Linked DNA regions of Macaca fascicularis. The protein of the gene in region 1 interacts with the protein of each later gene in a pairwise test. Links are inferred from orthologs where the notes say so. Each region holds a gene or a part of one and is shown on either strand. Other genes may lie near its edges.

Region 1 (4,109 bases):
AGGTAAAGCTGGAGGATACTTGATTTTGTTTTGAGTTTTTGTTTTTTTGAGACTGGGTCTTGCTCTGTCTCCCAGCCTGGAGTGCAGTGGTGCCATCACAACTCACTGCAGCCTTGATCTCTCGGGCTCAAGTGATCCTCCCACCTCAGCCTCCCAAGTAGCTGGGACTACAGGCGCACACCACCATGCCCAGCTAAGTTTTGTATTTTTTGTAGAGACGGGGTTTCACCATGTTGCCCAGGGATGGTCTAGAACTCCTGGACTAAGGGATCCACCCACCTCAATCTCCCAAAGTGCTGGGATTACAGGCACTTTGCCACAGTGAGTCACTGTGCCTGGCTGAAGATCCTGGATTTTGAAGGCCCCTGAATGACAGTGAATGTGATGCTATAGGCCACTGGGCTTCCTTGAAGAGTTCTGGGTAAGGATGCAGTGTGGTAAGCTTTATATTTCAGACAGTTTATGAAGTTGTGTGGAGGACAGATTGGGGGAATAGGAGCATGAAAGCCAGGGACAAAGCTGGGCAACCATTGAAATGTCTATAATACATTTTGTTTCCTAAGTACAAACATAGAGGTGACCATGTGTCCTGGCTGGCTGGAGACAATCCTAAATTATGGCTTTGGTCCCAGAGTAATTATATTAAGAGCCACTTTCATGCTCAAACATGTCTCAGTCTGAAGATTAAATATCATCTACATATACACAGCAACAAAACTTCCACAATTCTTACCTTCACTGTGTGAAAGGCACTGACATTTTTTTCTCTTTTTTATTTTTATTTTTTATTATTTTTGAGACACAGTCTCACTCTGTTGCCCAGGCTGGAGTGCAGTGGCGCGATCTCAGCTCACTGCAACCTCTGCCTCCTGGGTTCAAGTGATTCTCAAGTAGCCTCTCAAGTAGCTAGGATTACAGGCATACGTTACTATGCCCAGCTAATTTCTGTATTTTTAGTACAGACGGGGTTTCACCATGTTGGCCAGGCTGGTCTCGAACTCCTGACCTCAAGTGATCCGCCTGCCTCAGCCTCCCAAAGTGCTGGGATTGTAGGCGTGAGCCACTTCGTCTGGCTTTTTTTTTTCAAATGTTGGTTGCAACCTATTAAATTGATTTCGTGACACACTAAATAGTTCATAACCCTCAGTTTAAACAACTCTGACCTACACGCCTGCCAAGTCTTAGGAAAACAGGAAGGAGACAGCTAATTAAGTTTGGGTGATGCATAGTCTAAGGCATTGGTTCTCAACATTGGCAGTGCAAGATCACGTGAGGTACGACTGAACACGGAGATCTCCAAAACTGCGGAGAGTTGTGCGTGTGCACGTATGCACAGACATCTACATGGAAATGGCTGTAACGCATCCAGCCATAAGGCGTACAAGGGTATGTATACTTACAGAGTTAAGAACCACTATTCTCAGGAGTTATATGACAGCCTGAGAAGACGCCCAGGATGTAGGAACAGGGAGCAAGCGAGCGTTTGGCACCTTGAGGGTGCTCCGCGCGTCTGGTAAAGCCAACGAGCCCCTCCTCTTCGCTGGCCTCTCCGGGGCCTTGCTGACCAGTGGTCGAAGCCACAGGACCGGGTGCGGGTGGCCAGCGTAACCGGGGCAGCCCCGCGGCTTCCCCTCGGCCGCGCCAGGACGCTCTGCACGCGGCGACGACGGCCCCACAGTTCCCCGCGCGCGCAAGCGCAGGCGGCGGCTCCCGGCGTGCAGCTCGGTGGCGGCTGACCCGGCAGCGGGCCGCCTCAGGCAGCCCTGGCCGGGCCGCCCGGGTCCCCGGCAGCGGGGTAGGATGGCGCTAAAGCGGATCCAGAAGGTACGCACTTTCCCACCCTCCGACTCTTTGGGTGTCCGAAGCGTCGAGGTGTGGGCGGGGCGCCGCTGCCGTGAAGTGAAAGGTGACAAAGGCTCCGCAAGTCGCGGATACACCTGCCTAGGAAGGTGGCCGAACAGCCACCCGCGCAGCCTGAAAAGCTAACGCAGCCTGAGAAGGGGATTGCGCGAGCGCGGGGCGGGGCCGGGCCGTGACCACGTGGGCTGCGTCACGCTGGCGGGGCGCCGTGGGGCCACCTGCAGGCTCCTGGACAGCGGGTTGCTGGGTCCCCGGAGTAAGGCAAGCTTGCTCCTCTAGGGTATCCAGAAGGGCTGGATGGGTATCCAGAAGGGTATCCAGAAGGGTATCCAGGATGAAGCTGGGTCCTAAGCGATGAGTAGGAACTCGGCAGGTGGGGAAGAGGGAAAAAGGCTTTCCCGGCAATGGGGAGACCACGAGGCCTGGAGGACTGACAGGATAGGGGAGAAGCTGAAGGGCAGATGGTGTGGACTCGGGTGGTCCTTAGGGGCAGTGCTGAAATAACTGATTTTTATCCTGTAGGTAAGAGGGAGTCCATGAAGGTTTAATGCATTCACTAGGATTTGGAAAATGCACAACAGTAGAAGAAAGAAGTATTTCTAATCCTATCACTTTACTATTTGTTAACATTTTAGCATACCTATGTTCAGTTTTTTCTATATTTAAAACAATTATCCTGCATTTTGTATTCCACTTATTCACATAATAGTAAATGTAAGCATGTTGTGAAGTAGTATTTATAACTTTTTTTTTTTTTTTGAGACAGTCTTGCTCTGTCGCCCAGGCTGGAGTACAGTGGCACAATCATGGCTCACTGCAGCCTCAACCGTCCGGGTTCAAGTGATCCTCCCTCCTAAGCTTCCTGGGTAGCGGGGACTACATGCCACCATGCCCAGCCAATTGTTTATTTTTTGTAGAGACAGTGTCTCACTATGTTGCCCAGGCTGGTCTCATACTCCTGGGCTTAAGCGATCCTCTTGCCTCTACCTCCTAAAGTGGTGGGATTACAACGTGAGACACCATGTCCAGTTCTGTAACTAATTTTTAACATTAACTTTCCACAAGTACATGACTAGTGACTTATTTAGTCATTACCTGTAGTAGGTAAAACTGTAGTAGGTAAAAGTATGAACTTGGGTGTCAGACCTGGGTTAGAGAATGTGAGGTCACTTATAGTGGGACCTTGGGTAAGGCACTTAATCATTCCTAGCCTCCCAGTCCTACATGTTTACAGAGTTGTTTCGAGAATTAAATGCTATGAAATGTGTTTAGCACATGCTTGCTGTATACCAAGCACTCAATATGAGTTAGCTGCTGTTGTTCAAAATTCTTCACTATTTGCTGTTATGAACTTTGTATTAGGCTGTTTTGTTTGCTATAAAGGAATATCTGAGGCTGAGTAATTAATAAAGAAAAGAGGTTTATTTGGCTCTCAGTTCTGCAGGCTGTACAAGAAGCATAGTGCCAGCATCTGCTTCTAGTGAGGCCTCAGGAAGCTTACAATCATGGCGGAAAGCAAAGGAGAAGCAGGCGTGTCACCTGGTAAGAAAGGGAGCGAGAGAGATGCCAGCTCTTTTAAACACCCAGATCTCGCATGAACTAATAGAGTGAGCACTCACAGATTATTGTTGGGGGGCTACCAAGCCATTCATGAGGAATCTGCCCCCATGACCCAGACACCTCCCACCAGGCCCCGCCTCCAACACTGGCGATCACATTTCAGCATGAGATTTGGAGGGGACAAATATCCAAACCAGATCAACCATCATTGTACAGTGAGCCTTTTCCTTAATTCACATTACTGGGTTTGATTGCCAGAGGTGGAATAACAGGATCTCTGAGAGTATGACTCTTCTTTTTAAATAGCTGTCCAAAAGAGAGATAATTTTGATGAGTTATTCTCTGAAAGGGGTCATCTGTCATCCTAGGGCTTTGAAGCAGGTGAATGACGTGCTGAGATCTGTGTTATAAAAAGATCCTTCTGGCGGCAGTGTGGCCTAAAGTGGGACAGAGGGAGACTAGAGGCTGTTGTGAAGATTCAGCAGAGGCTTTGCCCAAATTAATGACCATGGAATGGATGCTAGGCCAAAGCAGTGCCTGGACCACATTACAGAAGTGGAATTGACAGGACTTGAGGAGAGGATGTGGTGAAAGTGAAACAAGGAGGTGTACAAAATGGGTCACAAAGCAGTGCCTGGACCACATCACAGAAGTGGAATTGACAGGACTTGAGGAGAGGACGTGGTGAA
Region 2 (4,119 bases), on another chromosome or scaffold:
ATCATCACCTCAATTTTACATTTTCATCACTTTGAAAACAAACCTGTCCCAGCCAGTGACTCACGCCTGTAATCCCTGCACTTTCCGAAGCCGCGGTGGGAGGATCACTTGGGCTCAGGAGCCACAGACAGGTCTGGACAATATAGCAAGACGCTGTCTCTACCAAAAATTAAGGATTAGCCACGTGTGGTGGCATATGCCTATAATCCCATCTACTGGAGAGACTGAAGCAGGAAGATTTCTTGAGCCCAGAAGGTGGAGGATGCAGTGAGCCATGCTCCTGCCACTGTACGTACTCCAGCCTGGGCCACAGACCCTGTCTCTTAAAAGAAACCTGTGCCCTTTATCACCCCCTACCTTCCCTCTTCCTCCCATCCCTAAGCAACCATTAATCAACTTTCTGGGTCTGTATATGTACTTGCCTATTGTGGACATTTCATATCAATGGAATCACACAACACGTGGACCTTTGTGGCTGTCTTCTTTGACTTAGCACGTGTTTAAGGTTCATCCCTATTGTAGCATGTATCAGTAGTTCATTTTTATGACCGAATAGTACATTGTATGGATATATCACATTTATCTACTCATCACTTGATGGACATTAGCGTTGTTTCCATCTTTTGGTTGTTAGAATGGTATCAACATTTGTGTACAAGTTTTGTGTGGAGGTATGTTTCCACTTTTCTTAGAGGACTGGAATTACTGGGTCAAATGGTCACTCTTGTTTGACTTTAAGGAAAGGGCAGATTATTTTCCAAGACAGCCGCACCATTTGACATTCTCACTTCTGGTGTATGAGGGAACACATTTTTATTTCCCGCTAAATCAGGTTCATTTTTTAGTTTCTGCTGGAGGCTACTAGTAAACAGCAGAAACTTGAAAGACTGTTAATATTTTTTCTTCTGGGGTTTTGGGCACCAGGGAAGCTGCTCGGCCCCTAGGAGTGCTTGGGGGTAACTAGCTTCAGAGGGTTAATGGTGGGGGTTAAGTGGGCAGCGGCCTGGTGGCCAGGGTCCCCCGCGCCCTGAGGCCCGGCCCGCCCGTCAGCGCCTGCGGGCCCGAGTGACGCCCGCGCCGCGGCCGGAGCAGGTGCCCTCTGTGTCCGTGGGCCCAGCCGAGCCGTGGTGCGGGCAGCGGATGATGCTGGGTGCCGGCCCCCGGGGCCTGAGGCCTGGGCCTACGCCCGCTAGGCGGCGGCGCGACCGCTGGGGGCGGGGGACGAAGGCCGCGCCCCTGCGCCCGTCCCGCCCGCGTCCCGCTGGGGGCGGTGGCCTGCCCGGAGCCCGCCGAGGCTCTTCCGCGCCGGCAGGGGCAGCAGCGGGAGCAGCGCGGGGCGGAGCGGCGCCAGCAGCCAGGAGCGGCCCGGCCCGGCCCGGCGTGGCGGCGGCGGCGGCGGCGGCAGCGGCAGCGGCAGCGGCAGCGACAGCGACGCCAGAGCCCGTGGGCGCCGTTCGCGAGACCGCGGCAGGGGCCCGGCCGCAGCGCGGGGAGGCCCGGAGACCGGAGGTCGCCGCTGCCGCCATGCCGCTGCTCTTCCTCGAGCGCTTCCCCTGGCCCAGCCTCCGCACCTACACGGGCCTCAGCGGCCTGGCCCTGCTGGGCACCATAATCAGCGCCTACCGCGCGCTCAGCCAGCCTGAGGTCGGCCCGGGCGAGCCGGACCAGCTAACGGCCTCGCTGCAACCCGAGCCGCCGGCGCCCGCCCGGCCGAGCGCGGGGGGACCACGGGCCCGCGACGTGGCCCAGTACCTGCTCTCAGATAGCCTCTTCGTGTGGGTGAGCGAGGCGACCGGGCCCGCGGGGCAGGGACGGGGTCCGCTGCGTCACCCTTTATCCGCGGGGGGCGTGGTGGGCCAAGGGGCCCCTGCGCCAGGGACCCCGGAGGGCAAGCGCCTGGGGGGCGCGGCCTTGCCTGCGGGAGCGCTGCCTAGGTAGAGTGGTGAGGCGCTGGGGGGCAGCGGGGGGGAACCGCGGGCGGGAGGAACATCATGTGGAGTTGCGAGGAGGAGGCCCCGAGGGGCAGGGCAGCGTTGGGGGCTCCGGGAAGGGAGTCGGGGAGGCGGCGGGCGAGGGTCTGCGTTGGGGTGCGGACGGGGCCCAGGGCAGGGGAAGGGGTTAAAGGGCAGTGGGGAGGAAGGGGCTGGGGACCCTCGGGAGAAACTAGACTAAGATCTCAGAGGGCAGGTTCAAGGGGAGGTCGGGATCTGGGAGTGCGTTATCCCTAGGGTTGGACAAAGTAGAGGGAAGTTGAAAGCTTTTCCCACTTGGTCAAGCATGGGATTGTTGTTAGCGGGTTTTCTTCCGACGAAAAGGAGAGGGCAGAGGGGAGAATTCAGACGTTGAGTATGGGGGAATTTTCAGCACTTGGATGTCTTTGGACATTCCAGTTGGAGAGAGGCGTCTCCTACAACTTTTTTGCCGGTTAGTATTCGATTGTCCCCTTTGGGAGCTGTTTAATGAAACAAACACCAGGCAAACTGTGCTTCCTTTTCTGCTGCCTTTACCTGATGATTCATGACAGTTTTCCTTTGATGTATGAACACAGCAAAACATTCGCAGTGTCAAGAGGCAGCCCATCATGTTAACTGAATGTTTCTTATTTGAGGATCTATTCTAACGCAGTTTCCAGGTTGTCTGCCCCCGCGAGATAAGCAGCATTGATAAGGCACACATGCTGGTTTCCTTCATTAGAATAGATAATTTCAGACTGAGCAGATCAATGATATTTTGGCTACAGAATTTTGCTTTCACCTTGGCCTTGAATACTTACGTAAATCCCACAGTGATCAGAAAAGTTTCTCCAGGATTTAAAGTCTCACTTGGATTTAATATGGCTTCTTGTATTTTGTCTCCTTCCAAGTTCCCATTTGGGGTTGAAAGTAGGCTGTAAATGACTGAGAGATTAATATTCCAAGTTGACAGGATGATATGCAACTCATTTGTTATAATTAGTCCCACTGTGCTTCATCAGGAAGCGGTGGGATTTATGGACTCTGTGGGCTGTGGATTAAGTCTCCTGGTCCTTCTGATGGAGAGTTCAGTAGAAGGCAGTGAAGGGTGAAGTTCCTGTTTGTCTACTGCTGTGTAAAACTGAACTTTACAGACCCAAAGAAGGGAGAAGAGAAAGAACTCACCCACATCTCTTGCTTAATTTCAAATCTGATTTTGCATTTGAGTTAGCAGGTAAACAACTTAAAGTGATATAGAGAGTGTTTTTGCCATATGTTAAGATTATAATGTAGTCTTTGATATTTTTTAAGTCTGAGATATAAATAAGCCTTTGAGAAGGAACCCTTATTTTATTTATATAACAACCTTGGCATTATTTAATGGATTTTCCCCCGCAGGACTTTCTTTTGATAAAAGCCATGTTCAGATTCTAAGGTTAATACCTCTTCAGAAAACATTACATAAAAGGCTGTTGATTTTTCTGTGATGATGATTACTTTTTAGGAAATTTCCTTTTCTTCCAGCATTTTCAGTAGAGGTCTTACCTCTGGCAAGTTTATCACTTCTTACTCTCTGCTGATGATATTTTCATTTCTCAGTTGATCCTAGTGCTGTTTTTCCTCCATCTTTCCTCTGGGTGTTTATTTCCACGTGTTTATTTTGGCCTGCTTTGGTTTCTCAGAGCCTCCATGTGCTCACTGTGAGTTTGTCTCATCACTCAGTGTTTATGTAGTTTCTGCTTTAGCAGCTGAGTAGAAGTGACAATCTCAAAAGCCTTCCCCAGTGGTGGGACAGATAAGATTGTTGAGTGAATACCCTATGTGGTGGTGCCTTTGTCAACTGGATCCTCCCCTAGTTCTGTTGAATTCGGATTCAACTTTTTCACAAACACTGCCTGCCAAGGCCAAGTAAGACAAAACAAAGACTGATCCTTCTGCCAGTGCAAGTCCTGCTAGATATTGTTTAACATATTGCAGTTCCTAAAACTTATCTTTGTGGAGCACAGTTTAGAATAATATCGGTCTGATAGCATCACAGGAGGTTTTTCATGAACAAACTCAATTTAAAACCTTTTGAAGGTGTTATTTTGGGCACTCTGGAGGGCATATCTGTGAACAACACTTTCCCCTACCCTCAGTAATATGGCACAATTTTACAGGTGATAAT
Region 3 (3,500 bases), on another chromosome or scaffold:
GGGGAGGTGCACAGATACTCTGCGGGTGGGAGGAGGGTGGGGCCCCTGCTGCTCACCGGAGGGTTCCACAGAGGGTGTCACAGGTCAGAAAAAAGAAATGCCTTCATTTATCACTTATATCAAACTGATTGCTTGTTTCTCTTTTGTTTTTCTCCTTCTTTTTACAAGATTGTTGATGGTAAGTGGTTTCATTTCCTTTTTCACTGGGTTTGGAGCAAAAACTGCCTTAGGTGAGAGCTGCGGTGCGACAGGCCTTGGCAGACCTTCCCCAAGGGCTTGGAGCTCTCCAAGCAGGAAGATCCCTTCACACATACTGTGGTCAGACCCGCACAGGCAGTCCACTTGTGCCTGCTGAAGAAACTTCACCCCTATCACTGACACTGAGCTGTCGTCCTTTCTTGTGGCCTACCAGATTTTGGGAAAGGCTGGTAGCTCACAGCAGGGGTTGGGGCATTTCTCCTGAGAAGATAAGATAGTGGCCTCCAGAGCTGGGCAGAACCTTCTGGGTTATAGCTGAGCATGGCAGCAGTTTCTTTCTGGGGGTCCCAGGCAGGGAAGGAAGAGGGTCTTAAGAGGCATCAGGATGGGGGTGGTGAGGATGGTAAGAGTAGGGAGCCTCCAACCTGAAAATGTGACCTACCTTAGAAAGAAGAAGACCAAGGAGGAATGCTAGGAGGCTGCCCCAGGACCATGCTGACAGCTGCGTGGTGAGCAGTGACGACGAGGAGTTGTCCAGGGACAGAGACGTGTATGTGACTACCCACACTCCCAGAAACACCAGGGATGAGGGCGCTACAGGCCTCAGGTACCAACATGCCCCCAGCTCTGCTGCTGCCGTGCTAGGGGGTGGGACCAGGGCATAGGAATGCTTTTCAGCAAACCTGAGGGCTTGGCCCTGGCAGGGCTTGACCAAGCCTCTCCCCAGCATCTGGATACAGTTGGAACCTGGCCCAGAACTGAGCCCAGCTGTTTCCACTGTAACCAGAGTATGCTGAGCGCTGACAGAGTGGGCGCAGGCAGTCCCGGTGGCTCCAGACAGGGATCCTGGGGCCAGTAGGGACGTGGGGGAGGGCAGGGTGACTCAGGTTGTCTGCACCTTCTGATGTTCACCCTGCCACATGCCCTTGGGGCAGTTGGCTTTTCTGAAAGTCTCTTGGATGCCTGTGCTAAGGCAGAGTCAGAGGAGGCCGGGGTGGTTCTCTTGTAGGGGATGCAGGCCACTTACATGAAGGCCACTTATGGGGTATAATAAAATATTTGCATTGACTGAAAAACTAATGTGAAGCACTGTGCTCTTAGGCCCTCGGGTACCGTCAGTTGTCCTATCTGCATGGATGGATACTCTGAGGTAAGTAAACCAGGCTGTATCTTCCTTGCTTCTGGTTTCTAAACTTCATTGAAAGAACTGGATGAGACAGGATCTTCTCCCTTGGTGGGACTGGACAGCCCTACTCGCAGTCATGCCTGGGCATCACTTGCTGCAGATCTGCTTGTGAGTGGAGAATGTGCCAGTTTCTCCTTGGACCCTACAACTTTCACCTTCAGCGCCTGTATCCCTGTATGCCTTGAGCTTCCGGGTGTAAATGCGTCCTCCTTTTGTGTCCCCCATCCTGACTCTTCTGGAAGCGGCTAGTGTTTACTGGCGTCCCTCATAACCTTGGGCTGTCACACTGTTGAGATGCCATGGCCCCTGCCTCCTCCTCTCCAGCTTAGAGCGATCGCAGCAGGCACAGTTAGCTCTCCAGACCCCTCCCTGTTGCAGCCTGGCTCTTGTTTTCCTTCAATTGGTCATCTTAGGCATAGATGGGTGGGATTCTCTGGGGACCATGGCTGCTCTGGGATAAGGACAAACTCAGAGGCTCTTTTTAATCCCTTCTAGATTGTGCAGAATGGACGTCTCATCGTTTCCACAGAGTGTGGCCATGTCTTCTGTAGCCAGTGCCTCCGCGATTCCCTGAAGAATGCTAATACTTGCCCAACTTGTAGGAAAAAGATCAACCACAAACGGTACCACCCCATTTATATATGAAGTATTCAGAGTCGCCCAGGAGACACGGATGGACAGACAGACAGACAGGTTCTCCAGTGGTATCTGCCTCCATTTTCCTGAGCTCAAAAAGACTGTTTCAGAACCAACGTCTGATATGTAAACTGCTCTTTTGTTTCCAACCCCTTCTTTTTGTTATCTCCAGTTTGATGCTATGGCGCTGGACCCAGGGCCCTCCCAGGCCATCTCTGTTCGTCTGGGGTGGTCCAGTTCTAGAGTGGGAGAAAGGGAGTCAGGCACATTGGGAATCGTGGTTCTAGTCTGGTTGCAGAACCTGCACATTTGCCAAGAAATTTTCCTTGTTTGGAAAGTTTGCCCCAGCTTTCCCAGGCACACCACCTTTTGTTCCAAGTGTCTGCCGGTCGACCAATCTGCCTGCCACACATTGACCAAGCCAGACCCAGTTCACCCAGCTCGAAGATCCCAGGTGCAAGAGTGGCCCCTTGAGGCCCTGGAAAGACCAATCACTGGACTTCTTCCCTTGAGAGTCAGAGGTCACCCGTGATTCTGCCTGCACCTTACCATTGATCTGCAGTGATTTCTGCAAATCAGGAGAAACTGCAGGGCAATCCCGTTTCCTAAGAACAAAAAAGTGCAATAAAGGCCATTCATTACCTACTTTTCGGCACCCCACAAGATGTAGCACTATTAGCGTCCCCCTCAGAGGCCTAATGTTGCCTGGGGAGCAGTGCCCATCCCAGCCCGTTTCTGCCCGCCAGTTGTTCTCAGGAACCTTACCCATGCTCCAGCGTCCTTCACCTGGCACAGGACATGCAAGATAAATAGGGCAGGCACGTGTTTGGGTGTCCTCTCTTTTCTGATAAAATCCATCCTGTATTTGCCACACGCCCTCCAGTCCTCAGTTCCTCGGTTTCCACTGCCTAACGTCTGCCCCCGCGTAGATACTGAGAGGTGGTGGCAGTAATTGTGGCCTTATCAGCCGCTCAGTTCCAGGCTTTTGCCCAAGTCACTGTTGCCCCATGTTTCGGAGAACCTGGCCCACCTGACTTGGCTTTCTCATCCTTCCCAACCCAGTGCCATTTGTTTCAGAAGCTACTCCTCTGGCCAGCTGGGCTTGGATCCTTTGGGCTTTGACTGCTCCATAGGTTTTGATGGGTGAAACACGGGCCCAGATGACAACCTCTCCCTCACTCCACAGGTATGTGGGAGCCTCAGGTTCTCTGAAGGGCAGCAGAGTGGCCCACGCTGCCTCTGACAGCACAGGGCCTGGGGGTGGCTAACAAGAGAGGCCTTACAGTGCCAGCCTGCCTCCTCTTCCGCTGTCCTCCTTCCTCAGAGGGCTTCAAGCCAAACAAACGGCCTTTTCGTGTGAAACATCTTCAGAGTGGGAAAGGGGCCACTTCTGGCTTTGTTAGCAATAACTGACCTTCAGTTTACCCTTCTGAAGGAGCAGGGACTCAGCACAGAATTCACTTTAGACGGGGCTGAAGGA
Region 4 (2,630 bases), on another chromosome or scaffold:
TGTGAGGTTGCTTGGTTTACATATGCTTTCCATACTGCTTTGTAGATCTTGACTCACTGTTGCAACCTCTACCTCCTGAGTTCAAGTGATTCTCCTGCCTCAGCCTCCTGAGTAGCTGGGATTACAGGCACCCACCACCACACCCAACTGATTTTTGTATTTTTAGTAGAGACAGGGTTTCACTGTGTTGACCAGGCTGGTCTCGAACTCCTGATCTCAAGTGATACACCAGCCTCGGCCTCCCGAAGTGCTGGGATTATAGATGTGAACCATCGTACCCAGCTGAGATGTTCTTGAACCTGAGTCTAATTAAGTCGTAGAGTAGCACTGTCCAATACAGTCACACTAGTCACATGAGCACTTAAAGTGTGCTTAGTGCCAAGGAAGAACTTAATGTTTTACTTTATTTTTAATCAAGTTAAATATAAACTTATGTGACTAGAGACCACTATATTGTATAGTGCCACTCTAGAAGCTAGCGCTAAGTTTCATTGACTGGAGTTGCAGGGAATAGAGGAGAACAAGTTTAATGATAGCACAGAAAGTATACACACAAGTCCAGGTTGTGGGCGTTCTGTAAGACAGCTGATCCGGCTTCCACAAGAAGTCAATGGCAGAAGAAAAAAGGTGGGATCACAGGCATGAGCCATGACGCCCGGCCCATCCTTTTGTTTTTTTTTTTTTAAACAGATGCGTACTTTTTTTTTTTTTTTCTTGAGACAGTCTCGCTCTGTTACCCAGGCTGGAATGCGGTGGCGCAGTCTCGGCTCACTGCCACCTCTGCCTCCCAGGTTCAAGCAATTATTGTGCCTCAGCTTCCTAAGTAGCTGGGTGCACACCACCATACCCGGCTAATTTTTGTATTTTTAGTAGAGACGGGGTTTTGCCATGTTTCCCAGGCTGGTCTCAAACTCCTGGGCTCAAGCAGTCTTCTCACCTCAGCCTCACAAACTGCTAGGATTACAAGCATGAGCCACCGTGCCTGGTCATACTTTTTTTTTTTTTTTTTTTTTTTTTGAGACAGGGTCTCGCTCTGTTGCCCAGGCTGGAGTGCAGAGGCGCAATCTTGGCTTACTGCAACCTCCACCTCCTGGGTTCAAGTGATTCTTGTTCTTCAGCCTCCCAAGTAGCTGGAACTATGGGTGTGTGCCACCATGCCTGGCTGACTCTACTTTTTAATACTTTAAAATATTTTTCTTTTTTAGGAGACAGTATCTTGCTTAGTCTAGACTGGAGGGCAGTAGTGTGATCATGGCTCACTGTAGCCTCAAACTCCTCAGCTTAAGCAATCCTCTTTTACCCTTTCTTGAGTAGCTGAGACTGCAGGCATGCATCACCACACCTGGCTAATTTTTTAATTTCTTGTAGAGATGAGAATCTTGTTATATTGCCCCAGCTGGTCTCTATCTCCTATCCTTAAGCTGTCGTCCCATCTCAGACTCCCAAAGTGTTGGAATTACAGGTGTGAGACACCATGCCTGGCCAACGCGGTGGCTCACTCCTGTAATCCCAGCACTTTGGGAGGCCAGGGTTGATGGATCACGTGAGGTCAGGAGTTCAAGACCAGCCTGGCCAACATGGTGAAACCCCATCTGTACTAAAACAGAAGAAAATTAGCGGGGTGTGGTGGCAGGCACTGTAGTCCCAGCTACTTGAGAGGCTGAGGCAGGAGAATCGCTTGAACCCAGGAGGCAGATGTTGCAGTGAGCCAAGGAGTGCCACAGCACTCCAGCCTGGGCGACAAGAGCGAGACTCTGTCTCAAGAAAAAAAAAGGTGAGTTCCATGAGGGCAAAGACAGGGACTTTATTTTTAATTTACCTTTCTGTCCGTAGAAGAGCCTGACACATAGATTGAATGAATGGAAGCTGGGCTTTATTTTCAGATCCACTTACAGGTAGACTAATTGCTGATTACAGTAGGTGAGGCTGTATCTGAACCATGTCAGGTGTGCTGGCTTTGAGCAACTTTGTGAAGGTTAGGGATGGCCTGCTTTGCTCTCCAGGTAGTGTTCTCTCTGCAGCCTTTTAGACTTGTTTGATGATGAAGAAAGGAAGTCCCTTCGTGTACTGACTGGGTCCTGAACCTTCCCTCTGCTTGCGTTCTTTAGCTGTGGGATGCTGCCAGTGGCTCGTTGCTCCAGGACCTACAGACCAATCAGCCTGTCTTGGACATCTGCCCATTTGAGGTGAACCATAACAGCTACTTGGCTACCTTAACAGAGAAGATGGTCCACATCTATAAGTGGGAGTGACCGTGGTCTTGAAACCTTGAAGGCCTGCTGCTGGTTAAATGTTGTTTGCTAGCACCTAGCAGTCCCAAGCAAGATCCCTGTTTATTGTCTGCGGCCTAGAACATTGGGGATCATGGTTTGTTTGCATTAATATGATTCTAGGACTTTGGGTCACTGAGACACTACAGATTGTGTATCTGTTATGTCCACTAAAAGAGTAATTGATGGGTACTTTATCTACATTATCCATTTCTTGGGTTTAAAGCCTTCATTTACCGTTATTGTATGTTGGAAATTCTTATTTTCTTTATTTTCTATGTGACTTTCTGGACCTTAGAGAGTGTCCTCTCATCATCTAGGATGTAAGTAGGCATCAAGCATTTTCTGGGGGATATGACA
Region 5 (4,142 bases), on another chromosome or scaffold:
GGAAAAAAAATTAAGAGGAAATAATAGAGTTCAAGTGGTTTACCTCTTACTACATGGTGTGCTAGAGACTAATAATAATAATATTTGTTGTTTACTAAGAGCCAGGCACTGTACTAACTGATTTAATGTGACAACATACTTAATCTCAAATGCCATCAATCAGTTGCTGTTCTTATCCCCATTCTAGAGATGAGGAAATTGAGACATAGAGAAGTTAAGTAATTTGTCCATAATTCTAGGGTTAGAAAGCGGTGGAGATGGAACTTATACCCAAATAATACAACTTCAGAGCTTATACTCCATAAGAAGTATGAGAGAGTCAATGCCTTAGGAATATAAACTGGTATACATACATCCCTTCTAGACCCATTTTCCACTGGAGTTGGGGGTACCAAATCCCACCCAAAAGGTATCCCTCTTTGTACAATACCTGAGCACTGTATTTTCTTCGACCCTTGTACACCCTCCCAAAAGAGCCTTCTCCAATCATCTCCAACACGTGGTACTTTTCCATGACAGAGGTTTCAGAATCTCTTAGAAGGAAAAAGGTAGAGACGGTGAAGAGCTATAGATCCAGGGACAATTCCACAACATCTGGGAGGCCTAGTTGGGGCATGGGAAAGGAAAAATGTTAGCCACCTTGCCTTTTCTCTTTTTCACAAAGACCAAGCCTCAAAAAACATGGGAGGGTAGAATGACGCAAAGGTGATGCGATCTTGGAACAAACACAGCATCTCTTTGTAGTTCCTCTCCACTTTCAGCCTCCTGTCCCCAACCCGGCCCCATGCCCACCTGACACCTGGTCCCCCTTCTCCCTCACCCAGCTTGGCCCACTCGACCCTGCTCTCTTAACCTAGCATCGCCCACCCAACCCTGCTCCTTCGAGTCTCCCCCAAGTTCCTGCCACTCCCAGATTCCTCAGCACCTGCTCTCAGACCCCCTGGCCCATGCGCTTCGCAAGCCAGGGTCCCTCTCTCATCCCCAGCCTAGGAGATCCAAGCTCCTCAGGCCCAGGGACGGATTCCCTGGCCTTTAGCCCCATATCTTCTGGCTGCCTGCATACGTTGCCTGACTTACAATTCTTCTCCACCCGCCCCTCGCGCCAGTCTGTTTTGGCTCCCTTTCTAACAATTTCACTCGCTAGAACTGGTGAGAAGTTCAGAGGACAAAGGCGCTCAGAGGTGTGGGAGGGACGGCGGACCACACATGGGCACTTCCTGGGACGCATCCGAACTGCCTCTGGGCCGTCAGGCCCGGCTAAGGACCCGGAGTCTGCGGTTGCCTAGAAACGACGCTAGCTGCCCACCCCTCTTAGTTTTCCGCCTCCGACTTCCCTAAGGGCATTTCCGGTTCCGGCTGCGGGCCGGTGAAGACATGGCGGCGTCTGCGTCTGCAGCTGCAGGGGAGGAGGACTGGTAACTTCGGGGGCATGGGCTTTGGCTGACAGTCTGGATCTAGTCCAGAGGCCTAGCAGCTGTCGCAGACGGTCCGTACGGCGGGCGTGTGGGGTGGAGCGAAGGATGAGGGATGGCAGAGATGCTGACATCTCCTCTGGGAGATCTTCTAGACTGGGGAACGGGAGGGTGGAGGGGCGCTGATCTGAGTGAGAAGAGACCGGGTCTGCGCCCGCCAGACCAGTTCAGGCCTCGCCTTATCCGGTTCGATCCCCTTTCCTCCAGCTTCACGCTATCCCTTTCTATGCTCCTCAAATGAATTTTCTCAGGGGCTTTGGGGGATGCCTGCCCGTCAGACCTCCCCATCTCCCTTTCGCCTCTCAGAACTAGTGCCCTCCGGTTCGGTACCCCTTTCTCCTTGGATCAGCGTTTTTCCGCCGACGCTTTCCTCAACCTTCTCTCTCCCACACAGCACTAGTGAGGACTATTGTCTGAATAAAGCTTTACACCTCACATAAAGTCCCTCTAGTCCTTCTCTCAAGCATTCTTAACTAAAGACTAGAACATGGAAGGACTCTGGGATTTGGAAGTAGGATCAATGTGGGTTAACTCCGCATTTTATTAGCTGTGTGATGCTGACCAGGCCATCTAGCTTCTGTGAGTCAGTGTCCTCAGCTGTAAAAACAAAGTGGGTGTGGTATTTACCTCAGAATAGTTGAGAGGATCACGATGGATTTGTAATATACTTAAGTCTGTTTTTTTGTTTTGTTTTGTTTTGTTTTGTTTTTTGAGACAGAGTCTCACTGTCGCCCACGCTGGAGTGCGGTGGTGCGATTATGGCTCACTGCAGCCTCAACCTCCCCAGGCTCAGGTGATCCTCTTGCCTCAGCCTTCCAAGTAGCTGAGGCTACAGGTCTGTGCCACCATGCCCAGCTAATTTTGTATTTTTTGTAGAGACAGAGTTTTGCCATGTTGGCCAGGCTGGTCTTGAACCCCTGGGTTCAAGTGATCCTCCCACCTCAGCCTCCCAAGGTGCTGGAATTACAGGCGTGAGCCACCACACCCGGCCTCCTTTTCATTAATAACTGAGGTGCAGGCACCTGGGAAGATTAGATGAGCCCCAAAGAAGTAAAGTGATTTGCCAAAAGGTGGAAAATTGCGACTAGAAATCCACATCTATCTGACTCCACACCTTAGATTCTTTATACTAGGACATTCTTCAATCCCCTCTCCCCCATTTTGTTGTCACCACCTTACCAGCATCCCATCCAGGACCCACATAACTAGGGTAGGCAAAGTATTGAAGGGCCACTTGACTGAGGCTACACCTCAGTGTTACATTGGTTCAGGGAGCCCTGCTAGTACTGGCCTTTATTAAGACTATCTAGACTACTGGTTTTCAAAGTGTTCAGGGAAACTTTTTCTTTTCTTTTTTTAAGAGACGGAGTCTTACTTTGTCACCCAGGCTGGAGTACAGTGGCAAGATCATGGCTCATTACAGACTCAACCTCCTGGGCTCCAGCGATTCTTCTGCCTCAGCCTCCCAAGTAGCTGGGACCACTGTGTCCAGCTAATTTTTTATTTTCTGTAGAGATAGTCTCGCTTTGTTGCCCAGGCTGGTCTCGAACTCCTGGCCTCAAGTGATCCTCCCACCTCAGCCTCCCAAAGTGCTGGGATAACTTATAGTTGACCTGTTCAGGGGAACTTTTAAGATTCAGGGGAGACACCTTGAGCCATGGAGAGAACAACAGTGAGTGCAGCAGCCTGTAGTGCTGTGAGACTCCCATCCCATGTCAGCCAAAACTACACTATTTTCTGTGAGGTGTAAAGCTTTGTATTTTATATTTTGAAGTTTCTGCCTAAGACTTAACAACAACTGACATAAGTCATGCTGGAGCAGCCTTACTCTTAGAATGAAGAGAGAGCAGTATGAGAAAGGAAAGTATGCATTTTTCCATGTATCACCTGGTAGAGCTGTAGACACAAACTGATCACTCAGCTTCAATTTCAATACAACTACTGTTTCTATGCTTAAGCATGTGTGTCCTCTGATTTACATCGGAACATGGATGCTAACCTCAACAGGCTGATGTAGATCAACCAGACAGCCAGGGTCATAAATACATCCAGAGTACTCTACTACCTCCCTCCTTCCCTCTTCCTTCTAAGGGAGAAGGTTATATACAGACGGGAAGAAAAAGAGGATGTAGACTAGCTACTATAGCCCAGATACTATTAGGTACTTTATATAAACAAATCACCTTTTATCCTCATAGTAACCCTAGAGAGTAGGTGTTATCATCTATATGTGATAGACAGGATAACTTAAGCTTACAGAGAGGTCACTTCCCAGATCGCATAGCTTGTAAGTGATTGGTACCTGTTACTAACTCCGAGGCTGCTGGCTTTTCCATTACAACACAGCCTTTACACCACCCTAGACCTGTTGTGTTGAGGTTGCTATCTCCTTTAAGAAGGCTTAGGGTGACTGGTGTTAAAAGTGTATGTAGACGGTAGCCAAGGCACTGGGATCCACACTGGACATTGATGTAGGGAAAGGCTGGAGTAATATTGGTAACGTTAATGCTAGTAAATGGGTGCCATACCTCTAGACCAGAAAGTCAGCCACTAAGGGGAATGAAACTTAAACAGGGAGTCAGGAAACCCGACTCTGGGCCCAGTTCTACCTATGTTAAGCCTTGGTTAGTCATTTTATTTTTCTGGAATCCACTTCTTCATCTCTTGGCA
Region 6 (2,347 bases), on another chromosome or scaffold:
TTCAAAAAATAGAGAAATCCACCTGTGCTTTACTTGTATTCGGGGGAACATCAAGAGGACTCCATGACATACAGTTCTCCCATCTTACACTTCTTCAATCCCTTGGCACAGACCCGGGGTATTCCAGTGGCAAAGTACTACATCCATTACAGGCTACTTACTTAAAGGAAGACAGGCTACTTGCTCTTTTCCCCAGTAAGATGGCAGCCATAGGTCACTCAGTCCTTCACTCTCCCCTGACCTTCTATAACCTCAGTTTAATCGTAAGGTATGCTCTTTAAATCCATCGTCCATCTACACACATACTATGTTGAAGCATGTTAACAACGACAACTATGACAGTGTAACATTTACTAATATGAAGAAAAGGGCAAGTAGTCATAACTGAACGAACATAAATGTCAAATTATGCAAATGTCAATTTGAGTGAGATCACTATTTTTGAATTCCAAGATGTTTAATGTAAACTGTTTTTATAAAAACTAATTATGAAACACAAAGACAATAGAAATATAAGTTATTTATTAATCAATCCACTTACAAAGCAGGTGGCTTAATGCAAGCTTATTGACATCTTCACATATGATCCATGGGAACATGTCCTCCACATACAGACAGTGATATTACTGACTGGATGCATTTGCAATCTGGGGCATATTAAGCATATTTAAACAAATAAAATTAGGCTATCCTGTATATGAAAGTATCTTGATAATAATATGCATCCTGAAGTAGATTAAAACTTCCTCCAAAGGAGAAATGTTAGTATGTTAACTTAACTTTATATTCTATATTATGCAGTAAATCTTAACTATAGAAATTAAAAATTTTAAATCAGTGATCGACTCTTGGTAATGTATGAAGTGGGAGTATATAACCATAGCAACAGTAGGTTGACAGTATAATTTGTGCCTCACAGTATCTGCAGATTTACTGTTTTCAAGTTTAGAGAGAAATAAAACAAGAGACATGTAGATTCAGCTGACTTTATTTATCTTTAAACTAATAAAAATCCCTTAAAAGTGATCCTGGGACCTTTAGAAGTTCTATGAATGCACAGATACCTGCCAATGACTTAAATTCCAAATCTTGCCTTAATGTGTCTACAAAATCACTGTAAGCAGATATCTTAACTTTTCGTGCTTAGCAGAAGACAACAAATTCTACATGTCTTTTTCAATTTCCCTAAAATTTTGTTAAATCTGCAAGTATGTACAATCTAGCTAACTGAAATTAATATTTAGTGTTCATCAGAGCTGTTTCACAGCAGCAAAAACTGAATCAGGGAAATAAAATTCTAAATGATGTAGGAAAAAGATAAATGCAATCAGAACAGCAGTCTAAATGTATGATATCAATATTCAACTCTTATCTGCACTGTGTTGAAAGGAAAAGGATACACCAAGAAAATTTATACTGATCACTCTGGTGATGTGACTACCACCTGCATCTGATTTAATATGGGTTGTATTCTGTTCCCAGTATTAAGGATGGTATTTAACTCAGAACTCCATATAGTAAATATACAGCAGCCATTTTGTCCTAATTAAGGAATGTCTTAATACACAATATTATCATTTTCTAGAGGATCTTTATACATTAAACTAAAGTACATGATTGATTAAATTAAAGATTAGTAATGGATAAAAAATTCATAATTATCTAGGCTTGGTACTATGTAAAAAACAAAAAGACCACAAAATTCTACTTACTAAAGCAGCTAATCTTGCCTGCAAGTTTAGGGTCACAAGCCCATAATATGTGCAAAGAAATGCAATACAAGGAACCATGCAAAAATACAGTAAAATGATACAGAAAAATGTCAAATCTAGAAAAAAAAGCTTTTATAAATACATGAAAATCAACTGTATACATAAACTGTAGGTCTAGCATTAGTTGTACCATATAGCAGAGCCAGCACTCTAAGTTCAATGCTTCCAAATCTGCGCAGGTAAGTCATGCCATCTTTGGTTGACTGCAGTACCAGGAAGGATGGGAATGAGAGGGAGGGCAAGAGTTCTGAAACATGGTGTCAACTTTCACTTGGGAGCTGGGCCTCAATGTCCACTCTGCATATGGGGCACTTCTTATTGGTGATCAACCATTGGTCAACACACACTTGGTGGAAAAGGTGCATACATGGAAGACGTCTATTATTGGCAAGAAAACAAAAAGCAAAAATTAATTTTATGATAATTGCACATGGTAAATTATATATGTAATAATTCAATAATGTTTTGAAGTTACTAAGCATCTTTCTCTTCTATAAAAGACACAGATTAAATTAGCACTCTGGGCAATATAATATATAAATGATCAAGATAATTAACTTTCAAAGCTACAGGAT

Evidence for each region.
Region 2: the proteins of UBE2D4 (region 1) and AMFR interact in a two-hybrid assay, tested with the Homo sapiens proteins (2 studies listed by BioGRID and IntAct). The link is inferred for Macaca fascicularis from reciprocal best matches to the Homo sapiens genes UBE2D4 and AMFR.
Region 3: the proteins of UBE2D4 (region 1) and RNF4 interact in a two-hybrid assay, tested with the Homo sapiens proteins (2 studies listed by BioGRID and IntAct). The link is inferred for Macaca fascicularis from reciprocal best matches to the Homo sapiens genes UBE2D4 and RNF4.
Region 4: the proteins of UBE2D4 (region 1) and RFWD3 interact in a two-hybrid assay, tested with the Homo sapiens proteins (2 studies listed by BioGRID and IntAct). The link is inferred for Macaca fascicularis from reciprocal best matches to the Homo sapiens genes UBE2D4 and RFWD3.
Region 5: the proteins of UBE2D4 (region 1) and RNF25 interact in binary tests that used the Homo sapiens proteins (3 or more experiments, as listed by UniProt). The link is inferred for Macaca fascicularis from reciprocal best matches to the Homo sapiens genes UBE2D4 and RNF25.
Region 6: the proteins of UBE2D4 (region 1) and RNF111 interact in a two-hybrid assay, tested with the Homo sapiens proteins (2 studies listed by BioGRID and IntAct). The link is inferred for Macaca fascicularis from reciprocal best matches to the Homo sapiens genes UBE2D4 and RNF111.

The regions. Positions count from the first base shown.
Region 1 is NC_088377.1:86,333,873-86,337,981, reverse strand, and holds the start of UBE2D4 (ubiquitin-conjugating enzyme E2 D4), read left to right. Parts: upstream 1-1,309; 5' UTR 1,310-1,344; coding exon 1,345-1,386; intron 1,387-1,400; exon of another isoform or gene 1,401-1,800; coding exon of another isoform or gene 1,801-1,824; exon of another isoform or gene 1,825-1,994; intron 1,995-2,032; exon of another isoform or gene 2,033-2,233; intron 2,234-3,296; exon of another isoform or gene 3,297-3,402; intron 3,403-4,109. UniProt on the Homo sapiens protein: Accepts ubiquitin from the E1 complex and catalyzes its covalent attachment to other proteins. In vitro able to promote polyubiquitination using all 7 ubiquitin Lys residues, but may prefer 'Lys-11' and 'Lys-48'-linked polyubiquitination.
Region 2 is NC_088394.1:52,484,932-52,489,050, reverse strand, and holds the start of AMFR (E3 ubiquitin-protein ligase AMFR), read left to right. Parts: upstream 1-1,319; 5' UTR 1,320-1,524; coding exon 1,525-1,779; intron 1,780-4,119. UniProt on the Homo sapiens protein: E3 ubiquitin-protein ligase that mediates the polyubiquitination of lysine and cysteine residues on target proteins, such as CD3D, CYP3A4, CFTR, INSIG1, SOAT2/ACAT2 and APOB for proteasomal degradation.
Region 3 is NC_088379.1:2,673,889-2,677,388, forward strand, and holds part of RNF4 (E3 ubiquitin-protein ligase RNF4), read left to right. Parts: intron 1-168; coding exon 169-178; intron 179-645; coding exon 646-805; intron 806-1,299; coding exon 1,300-1,348; intron 1,349-1,879; coding exon 1,880-2,029; 3' UTR 2,030-3,500. UniProt on the Homo sapiens protein: E3 ubiquitin-protein ligase which binds polysumoylated chains covalently attached to proteins and mediates 'Lys-6'-, 'Lys-11'-, 'Lys-48'- and 'Lys-63'-linked polyubiquitination of those substrates and their subsequent targeting to the proteasome for degradation.
Region 4 is NC_088394.1:70,432,284-70,434,913, reverse strand, and holds part of RFWD3 (E3 ubiquitin-protein ligase RFWD3), read left to right. Parts: intron 1-2,108; coding exon 2,109-2,252; 3' UTR 2,253-2,630. UniProt on the Homo sapiens protein: E3 ubiquitin-protein ligase required for the repair of DNA interstrand cross-links (ICL) in response to DNA damage. Plays a key role in RPA-mediated DNA damage signaling and repair.
Region 5 is NC_088386.1:114,599,312-114,603,453, reverse strand, and holds the start of RNF25 (E3 ubiquitin-protein ligase RNF25), read left to right. Parts: upstream 1-1,342; 5' UTR 1,343-1,374; coding exon 1,375-1,415; intron 1,416-4,142. Other genes in the region: STK36 (serine/threonine-protein kinase 36), read right to left, coding at 431-514. UniProt on the Homo sapiens protein: E3 ubiquitin-protein ligase that plays a key role in the RNF14-RNF25 translation quality control pathway, a pathway that takes place when a ribosome has stalled during translation, and which promotes ubiquitination and degradation of translation factors on stalled ribosomes.
Region 6 is NC_088381.1:35,570,969-35,573,315, reverse strand, and holds the end of RNF111 (E3 ubiquitin-protein ligase Arkadia), read right to left. Parts: intron 2,151-2,347; coding exon 2,033-2,150; 3' UTR 501-2,032; downstream 1-500. UniProt on the Homo sapiens protein: E3 ubiquitin-protein ligase. Required for mesoderm patterning during embryonic development. Acts as an enhancer of the transcriptional responses of the SMAD2/SMAD3 effectors, which are activated downstream of BMP.